Notamacropus eugenii: one gene and its partner. The protein of the gene in region 1 purifies or fractionates together with the protein of each later gene. This does not show direct contact. Links are inferred from orthologs where the notes say so. Each region holds a gene or a part of one and is shown on either strand. Other genes may lie near its edges.

Region 1 (7,777 bases):
GGGGGAGGCTGGGCTTTGAGTTGCGTCTGGAATGAAGTCAGAGAAGCTACAAGGTTGAGGTGAGCAGGGATAGCATTCCAGGGATGGGGGACAGCCAAAGCAAATGTGTGGAATAGTGAGATTAGCCCACTTTCAATTCTATGAGCAGATTTTCCATTTTCCTGAACCTCAAAGAAATTCCGGAATCTGTATAGGAAAAACAAAACAAAACCTACTCCAAAGATCCTTGAAAACAACTTTATCTATTACTTCCTACGATTGTGGTCATAAGTAACACTACTCCTACAAACACCCTCCTGACACCCCAAAGCCCACAAGCCACTATTGAAATCTTTCTCTGTAGGCCAGACGGCACCCAGGGAGGGACAGCCTTCCTACCAAAACAGCTCAAGACTTTTCAGGAGAAACTTCCAAGTTTCTTAAGGACTCCCTAAATAAAGAACAAATCCAATTAAAATCAATCTCTTTCAATTCAACAACTATTTAAAAGGCACCAACTGTGTGTAAAAGACCAGTAGACCAGGCACTGGGCCTGAAACTCAGGAAACCTTAAGTTCAAAGCCAATCTCAAACAGTTCTCAACTGTGTGACCCTGGGCAAATCACATAACCTCTGTCTGTTCCCTAGATACAGAGGCAATAATAACAGCGTCTACCTCCCAGGTGGTTGTGAGGATTAAGTGAGATAAAATTTGTAAAGAGTTTAGCATAGTGCCTGGCAGATGGTTATCCCGAGCCACCCTTACCCCCATCCCCAATCCCATCATCAAAGACAACATGCTGGGATATAAAATTTCCAGAAGTACTAAACTAACTTTTAATAAACTTCAATTGGAAATTAAACAACGTGTTGTAACACAGAATAAAGTTGTTTGGCTTGAAAATTTAACATCTAGCAGAATAGACTCTTTAAGATGCATAGTGTTTCCTCCAGGAAACAAAGAGCTACTAATGATAGCTAAAGTTTCCCCTCCCCTTTCCTTGGAAATAATGAAGTAATAACTTAGAACTGGTGCCCAAAAATAGATAACCTTGTCTAACTATGTTTGGGGCAAAGGAGTAAACAATCAAAAGATCTGGATTCTCAATTTCACTGTCACTTGCCAAAGGACCCTGGCCAAGTCCTTCTGATTCTAGGTTTACTCACCTCAAAATGGGAACGCCAACCGCCCTGCCTATGCCATTGGATGTTTTGGGAATTAAATGAGACTAGAAGCATTACTGCTATTTCTACTACTTGCCAACAACTATGCCTAGGCCCACCATGAATCTTCTGGTCAGTGACAGATTTCAACATGCCAATTTCATGTTTTCAAATTTTGGTAACAAAGCCACAAAACGGAGGTAAATAAAGTAGATAAGTTTAAATAGGCATTTAAACTAAAAATGAAGCAACCACATAGAGGACACAAAAGGGCGCTGAGGAAGAGCTAGGAATATGACTACCTCTGTCTCTTATTTATAAAGAGATGTCTACTGTTTTGAGACACTCAGTCTTGTTCTAAACCAAAAGCAAGCTGGAGTAGGGACCTATATGCATTTGAGAAAAAAACATGAAAGGTATTCAAAGCCCTCTTTTTACAATACTTCAAAGTAATCACGAAATTGACTCTGATAGGTGCAAAGTACTGAGTTTTTCTCCCATAAAAGGAATTGAAGCAATAATTTTCCAACCCCAAAATATTACAAAACATTATGTGCATTTTGTAGGATTTTAGTTCCTATTTAAGGCTTGTAATCTTCCACAAAACTGCAGCATTATTGAGTGGACAGAAAGGGAAATTTGGCAACAGAGCACCTCAGTGCAAATCCTTGCTCAGTCGCCTATGTGACTATGTGACCTTGGGCAAATCTTTTCCCCCCTCTGGGCCTCCTTTGCTCATCTGTAAAAGGAGATGGCTGGACTACAGATGATCTTCAGGGCCCTCACAAGCTCTAAAACCTACTCTCATGTTTAATCTGGGGCACAGAAGTGACCTTGGGATCTTTAGGTTGGCTCACCTGTAACTTTCTGGACCAAAGCCCCTTACCCTGACACATAAAAAAGTGCTTAACAAGTGATTTTTCATTCATTAAAAGCTACATCAGTAGAAAATACACTCTTACACGTCTCACCTGTCTGGAAGACTTCATATGCAGATACTTCAACAGACTGTACATCCAAGGCTCAACCTAATTTTGTAGAGTCTCATCACTAAAGGTAAAGTCACCATGTTTCTGACCACTGAAACTCATAAATACCATTTATGGAGGCAGAGTAGAGCTACAATCTAGACCCTTTCCTTCCTGAAATCCTTTAAATAATTTTGGTTTAAAAAGAATTAAAGCTTATTTTATTTTCAAAACTGCCTTTCACTTGGGCTTCATCATGAATATCCAAACTTCTGGGGGACAGTGGTAAGAGTTTAAAATTAATTAAAATGAATTAACTAAAATGAATTACTGCAGAGTGCTACCTTACATAAATTTATAGAAGCATACAGAATATACAAATCTATATCAATGCGGATTTACACGTAAACCTATGCGTTCACACAGACATCCTACATACAGCAAGTGCACGGGGGGACAAGGAAAAGCTACTTCTCTGAGTCCCCGTCTTTACCCACAGGAACAAAGGTCTCTCCGGCTCAGCCCTGCGGATCTGTTACCAAGGCAGGCAGGACCGGACTGGACTCAATAATTCAGCTCGGACACAAGAGAAAAATAAAGAGGGAACGCAGGACGTGAGCAGGAAGCCGCCTGTAGAGTTGGGACGGCCGGGACCCGAGGGCTGCTTCCGGGCCGGGCCGGGCGCACGGCTCTTCCGGGTTCTATTTTATTTATTCTATTCTGGAAGCCTGCAGGGTGAGCTGGGCTAAAGGAGGCTGCCAGGAAAGATGATCTCTGGAGAGCGGGGACGCCGGCACGAGTGGAAAAACCGGGGCGTCGGAGGCAGGAGACGCGGAAAGATGAAGCGGACCGAGGGAACCCTGCCGGAGGGGGAGGGGGAGGGGAGCGGAGGGGGGAGGGGGGAGGGGGGAGGGGAGCGGAGGGGGGGGCAGCGGCCGGAGCAGGAGCAGCCAGGGCTCCCTCCCCACGACCTTCGCCCCCGGCTTCTCACACTCTCAGCTCCTCCAGCCTGAGGACTGTCCGCTTTTTGCCTTTCCGGGGATCCCGGCACACAGTAGGCGCTTAAGAGATGCCCCTTGCCAGCCCCTTGCCAGCCCCCGCCCCCAGGTCACCGGCGCCGGGCCCTGCCCTGCCCCCGGCTCTCCGCGGGACGCTCCCGCCCCCTCCCTTCCCCTCCCCCCGAGCCTCCCAAAGTGGGTGTATAGACAAACCCCTCCTCAGAGGCCGGAACCACCGTCCCAGGCCCCTCCCACAGGAAGCCGCCTCCCCCCGCCTCAAAAGCCGGCAGCCAAGCCTCGGCCCGCCCCGGCCCGGGCTGCCCGACCCTCCCGGGGCCCGCCCGCCCGGCCCGGCTCCGAGGCTAGATCCCTACCTGCAGCAGGCCAAGCAGCGGCGCCGAACTCCTCTTCTACTTCCGCCTTCGACAGCTGGAACTCGGGCCGGGTCAGGTGGCCATTGTTGGTCACCTGACCCGGAAGAGGCGAGCCCGGCCCACACAAGTGTGGGCAGGCGAAGCCGAGAGCGCTGGAGGGCGCCAGGAGTTGGGCGGGGCGGGGGCGAGGCTTGCGGGGAGCCAGCCCCTTTCCCAGTTTCTTTATATTTATTCAGAATTAACCTTGAACTCGAGCTGCAGCCCGCTTTAGAGTCCAAGCTCCCTGAGGGCAGGAGCTCCGTTTGGTTCCTTGTTATGTTCTGGGCTCCATCCCCAGTGCCAGGACCCACAAGAGGCATCTTTTTCTTGGAGAAAGTTCTAGAATGAATGAATGAATGAGAAATAATTTGTTAAGCGCTTACAGTTGATACTGTACCTAGCTGGGGATACAGATTCAATTCAATCCAATAAACATTTATTGTCTACCCGGTATTGGGGCGACTAGGTGGCACAGTGCTCTAGTCAGGAGGACCTGAGTTCAAATCCAGCCTCAGACACTTACTAGCTGCGTGACCCTGGTCAAGTCACTTAACCCTGTTTGCCTCAGTTTCCGCATCTGTAAAATGAGATGGAGAGGAGTATAACAAATCACTCTAGTAGCTTTGCCAAGAAAATTCCCCAAAGGGGTCAGGAAGACTCAGACACAAGTGGAAACAAGCAAAAAGCAGCATTCCAGGGACTGTGCTCCGTTCTGGGGATACAAAAACAGGCACCAGACATATTTATGGGACAGTTCCACTTCCAAAGGCATTCACCATATTGGGGGTGATTCCAGCTGCTGAGGGGGGTTATCCAAAGGACCAGGGGAGCCTTTCCTGTGGGGTGAGAGGAGGCAGGAAACATTACACCTGTAGGTTTCAGCCACATGAGCAGTTCTATTGATTTTTAATTATATGTTTTTTTCAATTAACAAGCATTTATTTTCTACATCTCCTACCTCAGTGGGGAGAGGGGAATTGAGAAAAGAAAGACGGAAAAGCAAAACTGCACGGTCAACAAAACACATTTTCACAGTGTCCATGTCTAAAAACTTACTCCTGGAGATGTACCATGGTTGCCTCCTTCTGTCGGGGTGAATAGGCTTGCTAGGTAGCATTATTCCTTATGTAGGAAACAAAGGAAAGAGTTCTGTTTCCACAGGGTAGAAACTTCCAGCTTTGAGTGATAATAGTCAGACTAGTTGTAACCTAGCACGGTCAGGTGAAAAAAGTTAGAAACTTGCAAGAGAAAGCAGGGGTTAAATGTCCATAAAGGTTGTTAGCCCCTAAGGTTACTGAATAAAAACTGCAGGAGACCCTGATCAATCAGAAAACGGTTAGCGGCTTTCAGAAGGAAATTGGTCCAGCTTAAGCCAGCTGGAGTCACTGGTAGGGCAACCTAAAAAATCCAGCTGTGCTTGCTTAATGACATACAGTGGGCATGTCAAAAGATTGTGACCTGAAAGAGAATGGACCAATCCATCCTCTGGTGGGAGAATCTGTCCTTCACTAACATTATAAAAATGCATTAGCTTCTGTATCTCTCTCTCTTCCCCTTTTTGAAGAGTCTACTTTGGCTAAAGTGTTCAATTCCTCTGAACTCTAATACATTTTTCTTCATACTTTTTCAGTGTCAAGCATGTTTCTAACACTTATCAGTTCTATGGAACAGTGATCGTAAGTTTTCTTGACTGTTCAATAAAAGAATGCCTATAATAGGTGGTCAGAAATTAGACTAAGTAAGAAAAGGAAGATGATGGACAGAATTTTCCAGATACCTGCTGTTGCCAGGCAGCATGACCAAGAGCAGGATTAAAGCCACTTTAGTTCTATAGTCCCTTAAGGTTTGCAAAATGCTTTACATATATCTATGTAATAACCCTGTAAGGCAAATGCTATTATTACCTTCAATTTACAGATTAAGAGAGTGAAGGTTTATGAGGTTACAGGACTTGCCCAGGGTCACACCATTAATAAGCCTCTAAGGCAGGATTTGAATTCAGGTCTTTTTGACACCAAGTCCAGCATTCAACCCATCTCATTGACTTAAACCTCTCCATCCACCTAGCATGTTAGCATGGATTTAAACGGGATGTGCACAGCACAATGGGATGTGCTGACTCATTTCCCAGCTGACCACTCTGGACTTTTCCCACACCCCTTTGTACTTAGTTCATCACACCCCAGGAACCACATCATCCTGTAAAATCTCTTCAGCCTTGTTACTCACACTTCCTCGGTTCTGATTGGAAGGCAAAACAAAGAGCTCCTCCCAAACCCTCCAATTAAGGGGTACCAGGCAAGCCAAGTCTTCTTTTCCTGCTGGACTGCATACTCCTTCGGACTCCTCTCACAGTCCCCCAGCCCCACCCCTTGTCAGTTTCCTTTGTTGTCTTCCCAAGTTAGATTCTGATTTCCTGTAGTATACAGACTTTCTGTTTCCCATTTTTATCCCTAGAGCATAGTAGGGTGCCTGGCATACAGTAAATGTTTATCAATTGTTGTTGTTCGCCCATGTCCAACTTTTTCGTGACCTCTTTTAGGGTTTTCTTGATAAAGACATTGGAGTGGTTTGCCATTTCCTTCTCCAGTTCATTTCACAAATGAGAAAACTGAGGAAAACAGAGTTAAGTGACTTGTCCAGGGTCACATAGCGAGTAAGTGTCTGAGGCCAGATTTTTAATTCTGGTCTAAACAATTGGAAAAATATTAATTGCTCATGAGCCAATATAAAAATGACAGTTCTACCTAAATTAACTTATTCATTCAGTGCCATACCAATCAAATGATCAAAAATTATTTTATAAAGCTAGAAAAAAATAACAAAACTCATCTGGAAGAACAAAAGCTCAGGGATAGCAAGGAAATCAATGAAAAAAAATGCAAAATAAAGTGGTCCAGCCATACTAGATTTCAAACTGTATTATGAAGCAATAATTATCAAAACAATCAAAAACAGACTAAGAAATAGAATGGTAGATCAGTGGAATAGATTGGGTACAAATTACATTATAGTAAATGACCATAGTAACCTAGCATATGATAAACTCAAAGATCTGAGTTTTTGGAACAAAAATTCATTATTTGATAAAAACTGCTAGAAAATTGGAAAACAATGTGGCAGAAACCAGGTATATAGACCAACATTTCATACTATATACCAAGATAAAGTCAAAATGGGTACATGATTTACACACAGAGGGTGATACCACAAACAAATTAAGAGAAAATTAAACAGCATATCTGACAGGTTTATGAATAAGGGAAGATTTTAGGACCAAAGAAGATATAGAGAACATTACAAAATGTAAAATAGATAATTTTGATTATATGAAATTTTAAAGCTTTTGCACAAACAAAATCAATGCAACCAAAATTATAAGGAAAGCAGAAAACCAGTGAAATTTTTTTGCAACAGGTATCTCTGATAAAGGCCCTATTTCTCAAATATAAATATAAAAGCTGAGTCAAATGTATAAAAATACAAGTCATTCCCCAATTGATAAATGGTCAAAGGATATGAACAGGTAGTTTTCAGACAAAGAAATCAAAGCTATCTATAGTCATATGAAAATATGCTCTAAATCACTATTGATTAGAGGAATGTAAATCATAACAACTCCAAGGGTACCACTTCACACCTATCAGAGTGGCTAAGACGACAAAAAAGGAAAATATTGGATTCTGGAAAAATTGGAACACTAACGCACTGTTGGTGGAGTTGTGAACTGATCCAACCATTCTGGAGAGCAATTTGGAACTATGCCCAAAGGGCAATCAAACTGCATATACCCTTTGATCCAGCAATACCAGTACTAGGTATGTTCATCCTTTGATGCCAAAGAACACCATGCCATGAGAGAAATAATGACATGACTTGTACTTGACTTTGTTTTGAGTGAGGGAGGGCTGTGCAGGTCACCAGCCTCACTTCTCCTCCAGAGCCATCGGAATCCAGTGACCAGATATTCATCAGGATGACTGGAGATGACCCCGGATGAGGCAATTGGGGTTAAGTGACTTGCCCAAGATCACACAGCTAGTGAGTGTCAAGTGTCTGAAGTGAGATTTGAACTCAGGTCCTCCTGACTCCTGCACTGGTGCTCTATGCCCTATGGGTCCACCTAGCTGCCTCTTCCTCCTCCTGCCCCAAAATGCCTTCCCCTCAATCTAAATTGATAACTTCAGTTTTCTTTACCCCTGCTTCTTTTACTGCAGAGGGTTGTGAGGTAGCAAAGTGATGATAGCTCCTGAGG
Region 2 (7,126 bases), on another chromosome or scaffold:
TCAAAAGGAAACTCCCCATCATTACCCTCCAGGAAAAGCACCAGGGTATCCATATTTTTATGGGCCAGCACTATTGATTAACATTCTATACCCCTAACTTAGTTAACTACTAATATCTCACAGGGAATGTCAACGTAACATATCAGTTCACAGTGCCTAGCACAATGTCTTGCCCATAGTATGCATTTAATGAATATTTATGGAATGAATGAATGACTATCTAAGAAGCAATCCTAAATTATTAGTGAATCACTGTTTCAGATTAAGAATAAGTTAAAATAACTGAGGAAACAGGAAAAAGGTGTGAGGAATAAAGCAAAAACCATGAAATTTTCCCAAACTAAAAAGCTCTTAAGAAATACATTATATTAGTTTAAAATAATTAAACAAACATGAAATATACTTGCCACCCAAACTATCACTGTATAACGGTCAGCCTTCCCAGAAGCTATGTTTGCCTTGAAAGGGTCAGCTGACAAAGGTCCCCTGCTTTGCCTTCCTGTTGAAAGGTGCAAGACCGGTAGTCTGGGAAACAGGACGCTGATTTACATGTCTGCTGGATGGGGTCTTCCCATCTCCCCAACCCCTTCATTCTCATGGAGAATCTATTCTAGCAAAAGTTTGAGGTTTCTTTTTTTTTCCTAATAAAGAATGTCACCTTTTCTCCCCTGTTAAAAACATTTTAAAATAGACAAAGGCCCTTTCCACCACCATACTACATTAAGCTATAAAGAGCCCACTGTCCTCCAGAGTCATCACTGATTATACATACAGAAGAAACCTCATAAATAAACCTCAGACATTATAAATTACAGTTCAAAAATCTCTAGAAATGCCTCCTCACAGATGTCTTGTATCCAACCTCAAAACAAAGGGAAGTTCTTTGATTTTTTTGTTGGATATTCATTGTTTCCTGTTTATTCCAGGGTGAGGGTCAAAGAGAAATTCAGCATGCCAGTTTCCCCTAAGTCTCCTCGGCAAAACACAGATTAAGTGTAAAAACAGTCTAACACAAGGTAATAGACTTCCTAGCCAACATAAGGAGCTTCTGACAACCTTGTTCACATCAACTGATGCAAGACTGATCAGTCATAGATAAGACAGGTAAGAAAACCTAGATTTGAACTAAGATAACCATAACAACAGTATCTGAGATTATAAACTGGGTTTGTTTTGTGGTTGATTAGGGTTGGGTTTGCATGTGGGTGTCTTTCAGACATCCTTCTCACCTTCCTCATTTTTCCCCTGAAAAACTTCTCTGCATGGTCCTGGATATGCAGGGCTTTCTCTACCGGTCAAAATCAGAACCGACTTGACTTGGTCTACCTGGGGCCAAAGCCGGATGAACTCTTGGCTCCTACTACCGCAGCTGCACTCTGTGCTGTGCAAAATTAACTCTTTCTACTGCAGTTAGCAAGCACAACGGTGCTCACAAGAGCGACACTAGGCACCGTACAAAGGGAACCGACTAATTATCTGGAGTAATGGTAGGGAGAATAATTTTCTGCAAAAACAACGATGCCCAAGGCAGACCAGCAAAAATAAGGCTTGCAGTGGCTGGCATTGCAAGGTGCAATCCCATTCACCTTTGCAACTGGATCGGGGAAAACCCCACGACCTAAGGCAGCTTCCTCCACTCCTGCACCATCCCGGTCCGGTCCCCACCCCGTCGCACAGACAGCCAGACAGACTGTGTGCACTTCCAGTCTCCAGGGAGAGAGGACTCGCAGGCAGAGGCGAGCACAGAGGAAGGGCGGCGGTGGCGACTCCGTTCCTCTCTTACCCGAGACCAGCACCTGCACCCCCACCTCGCACCCTGGAAGTTCCCATAGGTCCGGCTCAACCCCCTGGATGTCCCCTCATCCAGTTCCCAGCATTGTCCTGTCCCTGTTTCCCACCCCCACCCCTGCTGGATTCGATGGCTGAACTTGGGGCCAGACGTCTGAGCCCTAGCCAGACCCCTACAGTCCCCGCTCCCCGAAGGGAGCTCCCAGCCTCACTCACCTGCAGCCGCCCCCTCCCTCTTAAGGACCGAGGACCGGTGGGGAGACGGAGGCGGGGGAGTGGAGAGGGGAGGGCTGCAGACAGGCACAACCCGGGCCAGACAGTCAGGAAGGGGCCGCGCCAGAGCCGCAGCTTTCCCGGCCCGAGAGCCAGGGGCGGGTGTGCTGGGGAGAGATGCCCCCGGGGCGTGCAAACCCAGAGAAGAGGCGTGGGAGGGCCGGAGGGCCGGAGCTGACCGCTGGGGACGCACTAAGACTGAAGTGTCTTGTCTCTTTAAGAGTCGGAGACCTTAAACTTGGGCCTCCCTCCCCCTCCCCCTTTCACTTTCCCAGGGACTTTCAGTCTGTCTGGCGGCGGCGGCGGCGGCGGGGACTGCGGCTCCTCCCCGGCTCTCTGGGATTCCCCGGCCGGGGCTGGGGAGCTGCGGCCGCCACGGCTGCATCTCCACTCCTGGCACCCCGGCGGGAACTCCGGAGCAAGAGAGGAGCGGAGGAGAGAAGGAGGGAGGGAAAGAAGGAGGGAGGGAGGGAGAACGAACGCGGCAGTGGCTGCACTCGCCTCCTTCCCGGAGCCCCGCGGCTGCCCCTGCCTGCAGCAGCGACCCCCTCCCCGGGCTGGGCCAAGGGAGGCGGGGGAGATGCGGGGAAGGGGTCGGGGAAGGTGGCGGAGGGAGGGAGGCTGCCGCTGCTGCTGCCGCCGCTGCTGCCTGATGCAAAGTGTCCTACCTCCTGCTCTTCCTCCTCCTCTCCTCCTCCTCTTCTCCTCCTCCTCCTCTTTTTCTTCCTCCTCCTCCTCCTCTTCCTCCTCCTCCTGCCGCCGCCGCCTCCCCCTGTCTGTCTCCAGCAGCGTATCTGTGTGCGCGGAGGGCTGTGTCTGTCTCCAACTCATTCCCAGTCTCTCCTCCTCCTCCTCCTCTTCCTCCTCCTCCGTCTGTAGCTAGTCGGTGACAGGCAAGGGGAGAAGGGGAAAGGAGAAGGGGGGAGGGAGGAGGAGAAGGGAGGCGGATTTGGGGCAGGGGGGGCAGGGGGGAGGAGGGGAGCAAAGTCGGGGCGGGGGGGGGGGGGGTGTGGAGGAAGCTTCCAGCCCAGCCCGCTGTGGTCGCGAGTCCTAGGCTACACTGACATCTGCCGGGCTGAGAGGAGAGAGGAGAGGAGAAGACAAGGAAGGAGAGGGACTCAAGTTCAAAGCAAGAACTAGGGAGGGACTGGGGAGACTTCTTTGAGACTGCAAAATCTGGGGGAGGAAGTATCTTTCGATTGGGTCTTTCACAGTGACTGCAACCTAAGCAGAACGGATTCTTCCTTTGGCAGCCCCGTATTCGTGATTATTTCTTAGCCTCCCCTCTCTGATAGGCATTACTTTATTTCATCATTTTGCGCTAATGCTCTTGAATAACGAATGCCCGGGGAAGGGCTGGGAGAAGGGGGAGGCAGACTAAGGAGAGGTGCACACAACCACAGGAACCCAGAGGTGGATCGGTCTACTGAATTCCGCCCCTATTTTAAACCTGAGGCAATCCGCGCCCACCCACACAACTTGAACTAATTCGGGTATCAGAGTAACAGTAATAACTGAAATGTATACAAATGTTTTAAAGTTTGCAAAGCGCTCATCCTTGTTTGGGATGTGTCCGCTGAACGAGTTAATCAGATAAATGTCTGCACAGACTGAAAGTCCACTCCCAGAGCTGATCGTAAGTTTCTTCAGCGGTATAAAGCTTCTGACAGGCTCCCTTTCCCCATCAGAGAAATGAGAAAAAGTTAATACTTTTTTCCTAGTTAATACTAGAGTTAATACTCTTTTCCTAGAAACTTAGCTGCTTGAAAGAGTTAAATGGCACTTGGTCTTTCAAGCTGTTTCTGACTTGGGTTTCATTTGTATCAGGGAGACTAGCCTCTCAATATAGTGGTGGTATAACTAACTGAACCTGGTTTTTAAAAAAAACAACACCAAAACAGGCTATTCAACTTGATTTCCTTTAGTTTGTGCCGGAATCAATTGGACGTTTTAAGCCAATTTTGTTCTTCTGGATCTCCAAATTGGATGAAGTTTTAAGTTCTGGTAAACCAAGCTAAAGAAGACTACGTCAAAAATGAATGGTTACGGTAGACAAGACTCTACAAATCTCAACTCTCAATGAAAGTTCAGGGTTGTATCCAGTCGCCAAAACTGGATGAAAAAGAAATCGGAGTCCCAGTAAGTAACCGAAACAGAGTCTCCAAATAAACTAATTCAAACTTCACTTCTCAAAGGGGTTAGAACAAGGAAAGTAGGAAGGGGGGAGCAAACCCCTAGCTCCAACCTATTTGGAGAGGTGAGAACTTCCCATCTACAAACAATGCTCAGATAAATCTGCTTATGTAATGTAATTACTCTTGGTCTTGTAATACTACTATTTCTAGGGCCATGTCTTCACCAATAAAGGAAAGTAGAAGTTAGAAATTATATGAATAATTAAAACTGATGACCTCCTCCCTTCCCTGACCCCCCCCCCCCAACCACTACAAAAAAAAAAAAAAAGCTAGATAACTAAAAATGACTTAATCTGACTCCAGGCCAATTCCCAAGGAAGGGCAAGGTTTTCCACATATTTTCTCATTTCATCCTCACCAAAACCCTGTGATAGGTGCTGTTATTATCTCCATTTGACAAATGAGGAGGAAGTTGAGTCTGAGAGAAGTTCAGTGGCTTAACCTGGGTCAAACAGCTGGTAAGTATCTGAGATACAATTAAACTCATATCTTCCTGACATCAAGTCCAGTGGTCTCTCCACTGTATCAGAAAAGCAAGTCTTATTAGTAAAATTACATTTTTATATCCAATTAAGAACTATAAAGGGTGTATTTTGGAGTGCTTTTAAAAAACTTGTGTAGTTCCATTAACCCATTAGGTCATCCTGATTACTACTCCATAATAATTCAATTCAGCAAATGGTACCTACTATTCCTAATATTTGCATGGCTTTGTACAAAATGTTTTTGTAGACATTATCCCATTATCTTCATGTAACAATCATGTCAGGTAGACTTACAGATCTTATAGATCAGGGCTTCTTAAACTTTTTTTCTGCTCTTGGCCCCTTCAGCACTTATTAAACTGGGGGGTCTCGCCCCTATATCCCACAGTTTAAGAAGTGCTCTTATAGATGACAAAACTGATGTTTGATAACAATGCCTAAGGTCTCCCAGTGACAGCCTGGGACTAAAACACAGATCTTGTGATCACTGGTCAAATACCCATTCCACATAATCACAATATAAACTAATGACTGGTATTTAGTGTATTAGATCTTCCAGTGCATTCAGTCATGGAATCAAGAAAAGAATATGCCATTGCCATTGTGGGCAGAAAGGCAGAACACCCTCCCCCTAAACAACCACCACTGCCTATGGCAGGTACAAAGAGTACCAAAGTACCAACTTGACCAAAGCACCAAACCCAGGCATTGTAACCATAATACCTCCATTACAAGAAATTCATTCCTTTGAATTAAGGGTACAATCTGGTCTCAATCTCATAATTAATATAATGAATCAATTAATCTTGTATTGTCTTTTCAAATTAAGTATCTGAAACTCCAAACTCTTTCTAGGAAGGAACATGACCTGACTTCCCTGTATTCCCATTCTCCTTGGGCAAAGATGGTACAATACCTGCCTTGAATTTCAGCTACCCTTCCCCCACTGTCTCTCTAGGCAGCCGAACTAATAGGAAAGAAGGGTAACTGCAGGCTAAAGTGAAGGAAGTAATTATGTGCCAAACTTATGGAGGGCCAAGAGTTGGAAGTGTTTCATTCAGCCCTCTGTAGTGTCTTCTATACTGTCATTGTAATTTTTCTGTAGCCATAATTATGCAACATTTATTGGAAATTAATGTGCTTAAGTTATACTCTAGTTATATTGGAGCCAACATAATAAAGGACATCTGTGAGAAAATAATATTAAGTTGGGTGTAAAGCATTCAAAATTCATGTCAACTTCAGGATCATAGACTTAGAGCTAAAAGGATCCTTGAGGTCACCTACTCCAACCTCCTTATTTTATAGATGAGGAATCTAACAACCCACAAAGGGGAAATAACTTACTCAAGGTCAAAAAGCTAATTAGTTCAAGAGCCAGGATTCCAAGATTCCAACTGAAGTCCTCTAACTCCAAAACCATCTTTCCTTGCTTTGTACAATTTTGCATTTCGTTTCAGCCACTTTTTCCATTTCACGTTTTTTTTCCCATTTCAGTATGTTATTGTAAAGGAATGGGGTTCGGCTTAGACAATTACCCCACTTAGAGTGATAAAATGCTATGCCCTGATCAAATGAGAACACATCTCCATAATTCACTGTGTGAATAAGTCCTGGGCCCTTGCTCTGGGGGCAAAAGGAAGTCTGTTCCAATTGGCTGAGGAACTAAGTTATGTCCCCTTGATATTTCAATGTTCCTTAGGTTCTCTTCGGACCATATTGGAAGGGAGTCCTAGACCAGGGCCAAGGCACTCTCTTCTCTCCCTAGTAATTCCTCCTTAAAGGAGGCTCTCTCTCCCACCATCAGACAATTGTTCATATTTAGTGAACAATTAAGATGTGTTCTTACCCAATAAAAGTATCAGAGCTTAGTATCTTACCACATATTTTAAATGGGGTGAGTAGTTTCATTGATTTACTCAATGATGACTGAATACCATGACCCTGACATATATAAGGATGAGTTGAGGGAACTGTAGAAATTTAGCCTGGAAAAGAGAAGACTTAGCCATCTTCTTAGCAAAGAGAAGACATGATAGCAATCTTCAAATATATGAAGACCTATCCTATGGAGGAGTGATTTGTCATGCTCTACTTGCTTACTATTAACAGAATCAGGAGCACAAGTTAAAATCTTCATAGATGCAGATTGAGGCTTGACAGAGAGAAAAACTTCCTAACAATTATGGCTATCCAAAAGGGAAATGGATTGTCTCCTTTGCCAAATGTCTCCAAGAAGAGGCTGGATGAGCACTCAGATTAGTTGTAGAGGATTCTTGGTCACATGTTTTGGACTGGATCATTTATTCCAACTTTAAGCTTCTATGATTCTGTTATCCTATGGATGAAGTTAAAGGAAAAAGAGAGAGATGCCACAATACAAAC

What was found. The genes of interacting proteins can lie anywhere in the genome.
Region 2: the proteins of WWP2 (region 1) and LDLRAD4 purify together in Homo sapiens (affinity purification with mass spectrometry; 3 studies listed by BioGRID and IntAct, counting the BioPlex papers as one, with this or other methods). This does not show direct contact. The link is inferred for Notamacropus eugenii from reciprocal best matches to the Homo sapiens genes WWP2 and LDLRAD4.

The regions. Positions count from the first base shown.
Region 1 is NC_092872.1:709,227,435-709,235,211, reverse strand, and holds the start of WWP2 (NEDD4-like E3 ubiquitin-protein ligase WWP2), read right to left. Parts: upstream 3,001-7,777; 5' UTR 2,160-3,000; coding exon 2,115-2,159; intron 1-2,114. UniProt on the Homo sapiens protein: E3 ubiquitin-protein ligase which accepts ubiquitin from an E2 ubiquitin-conjugating enzyme in the form of a thioester and then directly transfers the ubiquitin to targeted substrates.
Region 2 is NC_092875.1:229,126,650-229,133,775, forward strand, and holds the start of LDLRAD4 (low-density lipoprotein receptor class A domain-containing protein 4), read right to left. Parts: upstream 3,008-7,126; 5' UTR 2,730-3,007; exon of another isoform or gene 2,005-2,729; intron 1,857-2,004; exon of another isoform or gene 1,230-1,856; intron 1-1,229. UniProt on the Homo sapiens protein: Functions as a negative regulator of TGF-beta signaling and thereby probably plays a role in cell proliferation, differentiation, apoptosis, motility, extracellular matrix production and immunosuppression.